2 linked regions of the Canis lupus familiaris genome follow. Each later gene encodes a partner of the first gene's protein in a complex. Links are inferred from orthologs where the notes say so. Each region holds a gene or a part of one and is shown on either strand. Other genes may lie near its edges.

Region 1 (4,386 bases):
AATACCATCCCAATCAATGGAAGTCTCCCTCTAATGCAATATAATCTGCTATGGGCAATGTGAACTCCCACCCGGTATGTGCCTCCCCGTGGACAGTATAATGTCTCCTATCCATGACAAAGTTAACAAGGACAGTGCACACCTCCATGTATGGGGAGCCTTCTGCAGCGGCTGTGAACACTTTTCATGACAGTGTAAACCACTCTCCAAGGGTCTACCTGAGTAGGCAATGGGAACTCTTCTGATACTATAAGCTTCCCTCAGACCCAGCATCTACTTAACATACAGTCTAAACTCAAAACCTGCTCGATACTTAAGTGCACACTCTTCTGGAACGTGATCAAAATAGCACAAAATAGCATAAAATAGCATGGTTATGAAATGGCATATGTAAGTCATAATACAATAGCGTAAGTAATAGTGTAAGATTCCTTCTCAGTGTGAACTTGTAGACAGTGAAATTTCTCCCTCTCTCAAAGCGAAATCTTCTGTGGACGGTGGATAACATGAATCTCTTCAAACTCAGTGAACCCCAATGGACAACTGATATTTCTTCCTAGCCCCGGGATGAACTGGCCCCACAGTGGGAATGTTGCACAGCATGCACCTGCGATAGGTTGGGTGCGTTTTCTTCACAACTGGGATGAATCCTGTGTGCATCCTCGGAACCCATCACAGGCAGCGGAAGGCTCCCCTAAGGCCAGTGTTCACTGTTCCCCATTACCCTCTATCTAGGGCAAATCCAACGGATTTGGAGAATGGATGCACTGCAGACGGCTTCACACCTGGCATAAACTCCGTGTCCGGGCTGCAGGAATCTACTACTGACAAGGCATATGTCTCCCCTCCCTACCCTGTGTGAACTCCACCCCCCCCACCCGAGACCTTAAAAAAAAAATCTCGCTCCCGCCAAGCGCGAACACCCACAAAGTAGCTCTCCACAGAATGTAGCGAGAAGGGAATGTGGTGTGAAGCCCCATGGAGCGCCGCATATCCCCATCCCATGCCCCGACAAGCCGAGGGGAGCTGTCAGAAAACTGCACCGCCCTAAATGTCAAAGTCTTGGAAGGGGGGACTTTTCCCCAGGGTCCCCGAGCCCCAGGCCGCGCGCGTTCACTCCACTGCAGCGCGCGCCACCCTACACGCGCACGTTCTCTCCCCTCCCGGTGGCAACAGGGCTTTCCGCGGGGCCGCGCCGGACTTTCTGAAGCTGTTGATTGGTCATAGTCCCGGCCACCCTACAGCCAATCAAGCGGGGGAAAGGTGACATCACTCGTTCTCCTCCCCTCCCCCCCACCCCAAACTTCCCTACTCCCGGCTACCGACAGCAACAACCACGTGGGGGAGGGGTAACAGAGTAGAACCCGGTGAGGTCATTGCGCCGCCCCGGCCGCTGCTGATTGGCTGCGGGGCTTGCGGGTGGCGGTTGGCTGCTCCTCGCACCTCCCCCTCGTGCCGCTACAGCCGCTACTGAGAGGAGCCACTGGCGACGCCAGAGCCGGGAATCCGGGTGAGTTGGGGCCCTGGGTCTAAGATGCTCCCGGTGTGCAGGGAGACTTACAGGAACTGCCCTGTCCGACTTTTTCTCCTCGCCCGAGTTCTTTGGTGCTACAGCACTCTGTCACATGGGAGTTGTAGTCTGTTATGTACTGTCGACTATGGGCCGGAGACGTCAGAAGACTACCATTCCCAGCAGGAATTGCGACTAGCCGGTCAACAAACGCTCAGGCCACGCCTTCTCAGTCCGCTTATTGGACAGCCTATCCCTTAGCCCTTCCTTCTTGCACTTCATTGGCTACTGTCCCTAACAGAGGCTGGGTTCCGGCCTAGAGTGCAGGGCGAGTGGGTACTGTATTCGTCATTCTGCACTAGGACGGCCTGCAATTGGTCAAGGCTGATGCCCATCACTTGTTGTGGGGCAGGGCCCTAGGCAGATCAGGCGGTCGTAGGCTCAGGTTGGTGTCGGTCCCAGAGGGAGGCCGGTCTTGGACTTTGGCCCCTCCCCCTTGCGCTGCCGGGTGGGCGGGATTGGTCGTGGCGAATGTCGCTCGTCGTGGAGAGGCGGAGCCGACCAGGCTGCGAACATCTATTGGTCTAGGACGGCGCCGGTCAGCGGGGTTGTGGCCGGTGATTGGCTGGCTGCTCCAGCTGTTGCAGGTCCATTCACCATTTTGTGTGTTGGAGTAAAAAAAAAAAGGGAGAATCGAGAGGGAGAGCCGGAGGGGGGGCGGGGAGGGACCGGACCGGACCGAGCCGGGGCCACGGCCCCCCGCCCCGAAACCCCGCCGAGCCCGAGGTGAGGGGCGGGGCCAGGGCTGACACGGGCAGGGGGGATTTGGGGTGCTGGGGGCCGAGAGGGGACAGGTGGCAGGGACGGGGAGGGGGTACAGGGGGAAAAAAGGTGGGTTGGATGGTGGGAAGGGGGGATAGAGTGGATGAAGTGGTGGGGAGGAAGAGAGACAGAAAAGGGGTGACGGAGAGGGGATGGTGGGCAGAGAATGGGTAACAGGAATGGAGGGGTGACAGGACTAGATCAGGGTGACAGGGAGAGGGAGGGGACAGAGTTGGAGGGGTGACAAGGAGAGGTGATGGAGAGAAAAGGTGACAGGTCCGGAGATGGCTGACAGGAGAGTGACTGGGAGGAAGAGGTGACAGAGATAGATGAGGGTGACAAGGATGGGGTGATTGAGGAGGGGGCCTAGGGCCTGTGAGGAGAGAGGTAGAGGTGGTGACAGGATGGGAGAGAGAGTGGCAGAGAAGCTGGTGCCAGCAGGGCTGATGGGACCAGAGGGCATGAGACCCTGAAGAACCAGGGCCTGGGCCGGCCTGGGCTTCCAGGAGTTACTGCTTAGATTCTGAAGGAGGTGAGGGCCCACAGGGCCTTGGGTGGGAGTTCTCCAAAGTGGGGTGAACAGGGAGAGAGTAGGCCCCAGGGGAAAGAAAAAGGCTTGGCTTTTGGGGTGAAGAGGCAGGATCAGGTGGCAGGGTCCAGGGGTGCCAGGCGGTATGGTTGTAGGCCCTGGGTGGGGTATGCAAAGGTTTGTGTTTGGGCAGGACTGGGGCCGGATCTCAGTCCCCAGGATGGTGGCCCAGCGGGTCAGTGGGGAGAAGGTGGTGGCAGCTTCCCAACTCCTGGGCACTTGGATGCCTGCCCCAGTGTGAGAAGCCCCGGACCCTACAGGCTCTGCCTGTGGGGACCCCAGGATTGGTCCAGAGAAGGAGCAGCCTGAGATTGCAGGGTCCACTGGAGGAGCAGGCCCCAAGTAGGAGAACACGAGATCAGGGGTTCCTGGGGGAGTTTGCACACTGAGTTGGGGGTGTCTCAGATTGCGTTTGGGTTATGGTCCCAGGCACCCCCACCCTCCCAGAGGCCCCCTTTTGGCCTCTCAGGTTCTCTTAGTCACTTTAGAGTAAAGTTTTTTCCCTTTTCTTTTCTCAGGGCAGCTTGAAAGGGGGCGGGCAGTAATGACTGTTCAGGAAGTGGGTGAGGTTGGCCTGCTGGGCTTGCCCTGCTTTCTTTGACCTTCTCCCACTTACCCCCACCTGGAGCCGGAGGGCATATTTGGGGGCCCCAGGGGGCCTGGCCAGCTCAGCCACCCTGCCAGAGGCAGCCCAGTCAGGGCGGGGATGTGTGCAGGCCAGAAGGGGGGCTGGGCTTGCTGGTATCACGCTGGGTGCTGTGGGGGAGGGGCAGGCTCCCATCCAGTGGGACAGCGAAACCCTGGGGTGTAGCTCTGTGTCCCACTGTGTGATGACGTGTGTGTGCCTCTGTGTGTGTTTTTGTGCGCGTGCGTGTGCTCATGCACGGCCCCGTGGCAGTACTGGGTATAAGCTCTTGCCCCAGACGTGCCCCTGCCTGCTCCCTGCCAGGATCTGGGGAGATGGCTATACCTGGCAGGCCTGGGGTGCAGAGAAGAGTGGGCAGCCGTCCCTTAGGACTTCCAGCTGCCCACTCCTTCCCACAATGTCTGGCCATGCCAGGTGGCCCAGAGGGGTTGGGGGTGGGGGTGGAGAGAGGCTCACATCACAGCCCAGTCACCTCCTTTTCTGTGACTGTGTTCCTGTGCATGTGTGTGTATGAGTGTGTGTGCTCTCTGGACAGTGACAGTGCAAGGAAGCGTGCCCTCTGGATCATGTGACAGGCGGCACACTGAAATGGTTAGGAGCACAGACTCTGGAGCAGCCAGATTGCCTGGGTTCAGACCCTAGCTCTGCCATTTCCTAGCTGGATGAATTTGAGCAAGTTGCTTGATGTCTCTGTACCTCAGTTTCCTCAACTAGGGCTGTTGGTCGCACCTGCCTCTCAGGGCTGTTGTCAGGATCAAATGGGTTAATAAAATCAAGTTCGGCCCAGGGCTTGGCACAAAGTCAGTGCTCCATAGGCAT
Region 2 (3,896 bases), on another chromosome or scaffold:
TGCAATGGCCTCATCAAAAGCCTGGTAAATATTAATATCCATGGTAGATATTTGCATCAAAACAAACTGCATTACTCTACAACTATAAACCATTTTTATAAAATAGGTGAACATCCACTTTATGTTCTACTATCAATTAAAATAAAACTCAATGGAATCATTTTCAGATTCCCAGTTTATGACAATGACCCTATCAATATGAGTAAGAACATATAAGAATGACCCGAAACTTACTGTTTTAGCCAGAGTGCAGGCAAGCTCTGGGTTATTAAGGATCTCGTAGTAAAATACAGAAAAGTTAAGAGCCAGCCCCAGGCGAATGGGGTGTGTAGGTTGCATCTCTTTCTTGCTTATATCAAAAGCCTCTTGGTAAGCTCCTTGGGAATTATCTATCGTTTCTGTGAGGGGGGGGGAGAGACAAAAGAAGCACAATACTGAAAATATCCATCAAGTATACAGCATATTAACCTTTAACTTATGCTACTACCTCATGCAGAGCTGGATTTTTCTCTGTGGCCTTCCTTTAAAACCATAGTAGCAAACTGAAAACATTACCTCATACCAGCTTATGGAGAAACTAGTTTATAATGTTGCTTTTTTTATTTTTTTAAAGATTTTATTTATTTATTCATGAGAGACAGAGAAAGAGGCAGACACACAGGAAGAAGGAGAAGCAGGCTCCCTGCAGGGAGCCCAATGTGGGACTTGATCCCTGGACCCAGGATCACGCCCTGAGCTGAAGGCAGATGCTCAACTGCTGAGCTACCCAGGCGTCCCATGTTGCTTGCTTATAATCAGCTTTAAAAAACCCAATATGAGATAGTGCAATTGGATTTTTCCAGATCTGTGACTCAAACAATTTTCTTTTTCCGTATCTTTTAATTTTACTAATTGGAAATGCAGCAATTAAAAATAATTTCACCGATACACGTCAATAATACTTCAATAAAGCTAGAAAAAATTTTTGGCTATCTCTTCTCAAAATCATGAAAACACTTTACAAAGATCATACCACCAAAATCTCTTTTTTTGTGACTTATTTGTAAAAACAATACTAATCCTTGGTATCAAGATGTATTATGTAAAAGGCAATATAAAAGTGTCAAAATACAAAATAAAATCTGCTCTGACAAGAGATTGATTACTGGCCTAATAAAAAGGTTACCTTCCTGAAAAAAGCTGTTCAGTGATTGTTACCAATTCTAATCTGACTATAGCCATGCTTTCAAAAGAGTAGGTAGGTTTTCTCAATGAGACCACTGGCCCATTACAGCTTTAGAAATACTCCTCTAATAGAAATGTAAAGTTAACCTTTTTATGGCCTGAATATAAGGATTTTTCCTTCTTCAGAAATGGCACACTTATTAATCTAAATATAGCTGGTAGAGCCCTCACATAGTAAGGAGTTCTTGCTGTTTGGCATTTAAGGAAGTACTGTAATGAGTAGCAGTAAGGGGTCTCAGCTCCTAAGCTGTAAATACAGACTATGAGTCCCAGTCTACCGGAGTATTCTATGGATAGGGATAGAAATGCCAGGAAGCTAGAAAGGGTTAAATAAGATTAATGCTGGGGCTATGTCCCAGTCTCCCAAAGATATCCTTGTGACTTGCAAATATCTGTTACTTTCAGCTTTGCTTATCTTTATGACAACAGAAATTATACATCAATAAGTTTAGTATACAAATTGTTACAGTAGGATGCAATAGTTTTCTCTTTGTATCTTCAATTACACTGATATTTGGGGTGGTAAAACTGTTCCACTTTCAGTTAGTACCTCTTTGAGGGTAGGAAGCCACAGTAACTACTTGAAAAAGTACACTCTTTTTGGATGGGGCAAAATTAAAAACAAATTAATAAACCTACCAGAAATAAGGAATTGGGTGAAAATTCTAACTAGAATTTGATAAATATGATAGCAGGCACATACACAAAATTTAATAGGACCTGACTTGTACTCAGCTACTAATACTCCAGGAGGCTAAGTCCACTAGTAATAAATTGCTTTGATTTTCTTTTTACAATCAACTCTAGCAATTCATTTATTCTCTTTCCCAGATCTATATTTTCTATGACAAACTATATACCAGCAAAACTCTCACTCACCTCTCTTCCTCAGAAATTTGGTCTTGTAAGTATTGGTAGTCAATGTAATGATCCTTCAAAATAGGTAGTTAATAAATTGTCAAACAGAAAAAGCATAACATGCTGTTTCTATATTCTCTTTGTAATTTCCAGTAAGTTTCAAGGTACGATGACACAAAAGGCCATGTAACAGCACAAACTCTCAAAGCATATGCAAATAACTAGGGGGCTAAAAAATATGCTTCACCAAACTCTAAAGTATAAAAGAGTAATAATAAGCCTCTCTTATTTTTTCTTTATTATTATTATTTTTCACACTGAGTGTGGAGCCCAGCATAGGACCTGAACTCACAACTGTAAAGATCCAGATCTGAGCTGAGATCAAGAGTAGGAAGCTGAATGACTGAGCCACCCAGGCGCCCAAGATTAAGCCTTTTAAATAATATCTTAGCAGATTATCACCAGAATTTGAGTTTAATTTTTCAAAAACAGTACATTATGTAAATTCATGGCTATTTTCATTTTTTAGAACATTAAGGTCACATTACATTAATTTTATCGTATGTAGATTCCAAGATTTTTTAAAAAGTTACAGAGGACCTGGAGATTACATAGCGACTACTGTCACAGTGTCCCACTTATCCTCCCTTCCTTTTTTAACTTTACCTATAAACCAAACATACTTACGTTTTCGATCATCACCACACGCAACTTCAGCAAGGTACCGAAAATAATCTCCCTTCATTTTCAGATAGAAGACCTTACTCTCTGGATTAGTTGCGTTGGCTATTAAATACTTATCCAACAATTCCTGAAAAGAAGGAAGATAAAGTATTAGGTACCAATAAAAAGCTATTTTATTACAGGTAAGCACAATGAAGGACTACCACAGTAACTACAACCATTCCACCTTGGACTTGAAGCATGGACTGAGAGCAGGGGTCATGTAGTTGTCATCAGTTGAATGCTTTGGCCTATAGCAAGTCATAGTTTCTAATAAAGCTAGGTTACATCAAACACTAAATATAAAGAGCTTGTCTATTCACTCATCCATTCATTCAAGTAAGCATTTCTTGGTACTGGCTGGGTGCCAGGCACTGTATTTGGCCAGAGGGGATATAAAGAAAACACAAAGTTCTTGCCCTCAAGGAGCTCACAGTCTTAAGTAAGATACAGAAACATTATCTTGTTTATCCTTTATCTAGGATAGTAGCACCACAGAGAGAGCATCTGGCTGTGCTAGAGGTGGCCACTAGCTAAACAGGATTTCCCTGAAGGGATATTTCTGACTTGTTAAGAAGGAACAGTAGGAATGTATCAGTTCAGAAATGTGCATGTGCAATCAGCTTTTTTTTAGTTTTACATGTTTGTGTGTTTGTGTGTGTATAAGTTATCTCTGCACTCAACGTGGGCCTCAAACTCATAACCCCCAAATCAAGAGTCACGTGCTCTACTGACTGAGCCAGCCAGGCACAATCATTTTAAAGAAGGGAAACAAAATGTTTAAGACATCAAGTATGAAGAATATAATCACAGAACAAGTAAGTCAGCATGGCTCAGAGCAGGGCTGGCTGTTCAGTGTCTCTTACAGACTACTGCTCATCCAAAATAAGGGTAAATACAGGGATCAAGAGAAAGTACTTTAGAAACAATGACAGTCATGTCTACTGAATAGAATTATTTGAAAAAATATTGGGTTAGTAACTAAGTACGACTTCATTCCCTATTTTATTCAAAGAAATGTACCCTTGGATCCAATGAGCTAGTAGCGCTTCTCAAACTGAGGGATTTATACAAGATGTGCCACAAGAATA

The links.
Region 2: the proteins of CIC (region 1) and YWHAQ are in contact, whole or in part, in a crystal structure (PDB 6KZG), measured with the Homo sapiens proteins. The link is inferred for Canis lupus familiaris from reciprocal best matches to the Homo sapiens genes CIC and YWHAQ. Residues at the interface, in NP_001291744.1 of Homo sapiens: Arg1207, Ser1208, Met1209, Ser1210, Glu1211, Thr1212, Gly1213, Thr1214; in NP_006817.1 of Homo sapiens: Lys49, Arg56, Lys120, Arg127, Tyr128, Gly169, Leu172, Asn173, Val176, Tyr179, Glu180, Leu216, Ile217, Leu220, Asp223, Asn224, Leu227, Trp228.

What each region holds. Positions count from the first base shown.
Region 1 is NC_049222.1:112,834,640-112,839,025, reverse strand, and holds the start of CIC (protein capicua homolog), read left to right. Parts: upstream 1-1,361; 5' UTR 1,362-1,510; intron 1,511-2,147; exon of another isoform or gene 2,148-2,296; intron 2,297-4,386. UniProt on the Homo sapiens protein: Transcriptional repressor which plays a role in development of the central nervous system (CNS). In concert with ATXN1 and ATXN1L, involved in brain development.
Region 2 is NC_049238.1:6,670,289-6,674,184, forward strand, and holds part of YWHAQ (14-3-3 protein theta), read right to left. Parts: intron 2,894-3,896; coding exon 2,770-2,893; intron 399-2,769; coding exon 235-398; intron 22-234; coding exon 1-21. UniProt on the Homo sapiens protein: Adapter protein implicated in the regulation of a large spectrum of both general and specialized signaling pathways. Binds to a large number of partners, usually by recognition of a phosphoserine or phosphothreonine motif.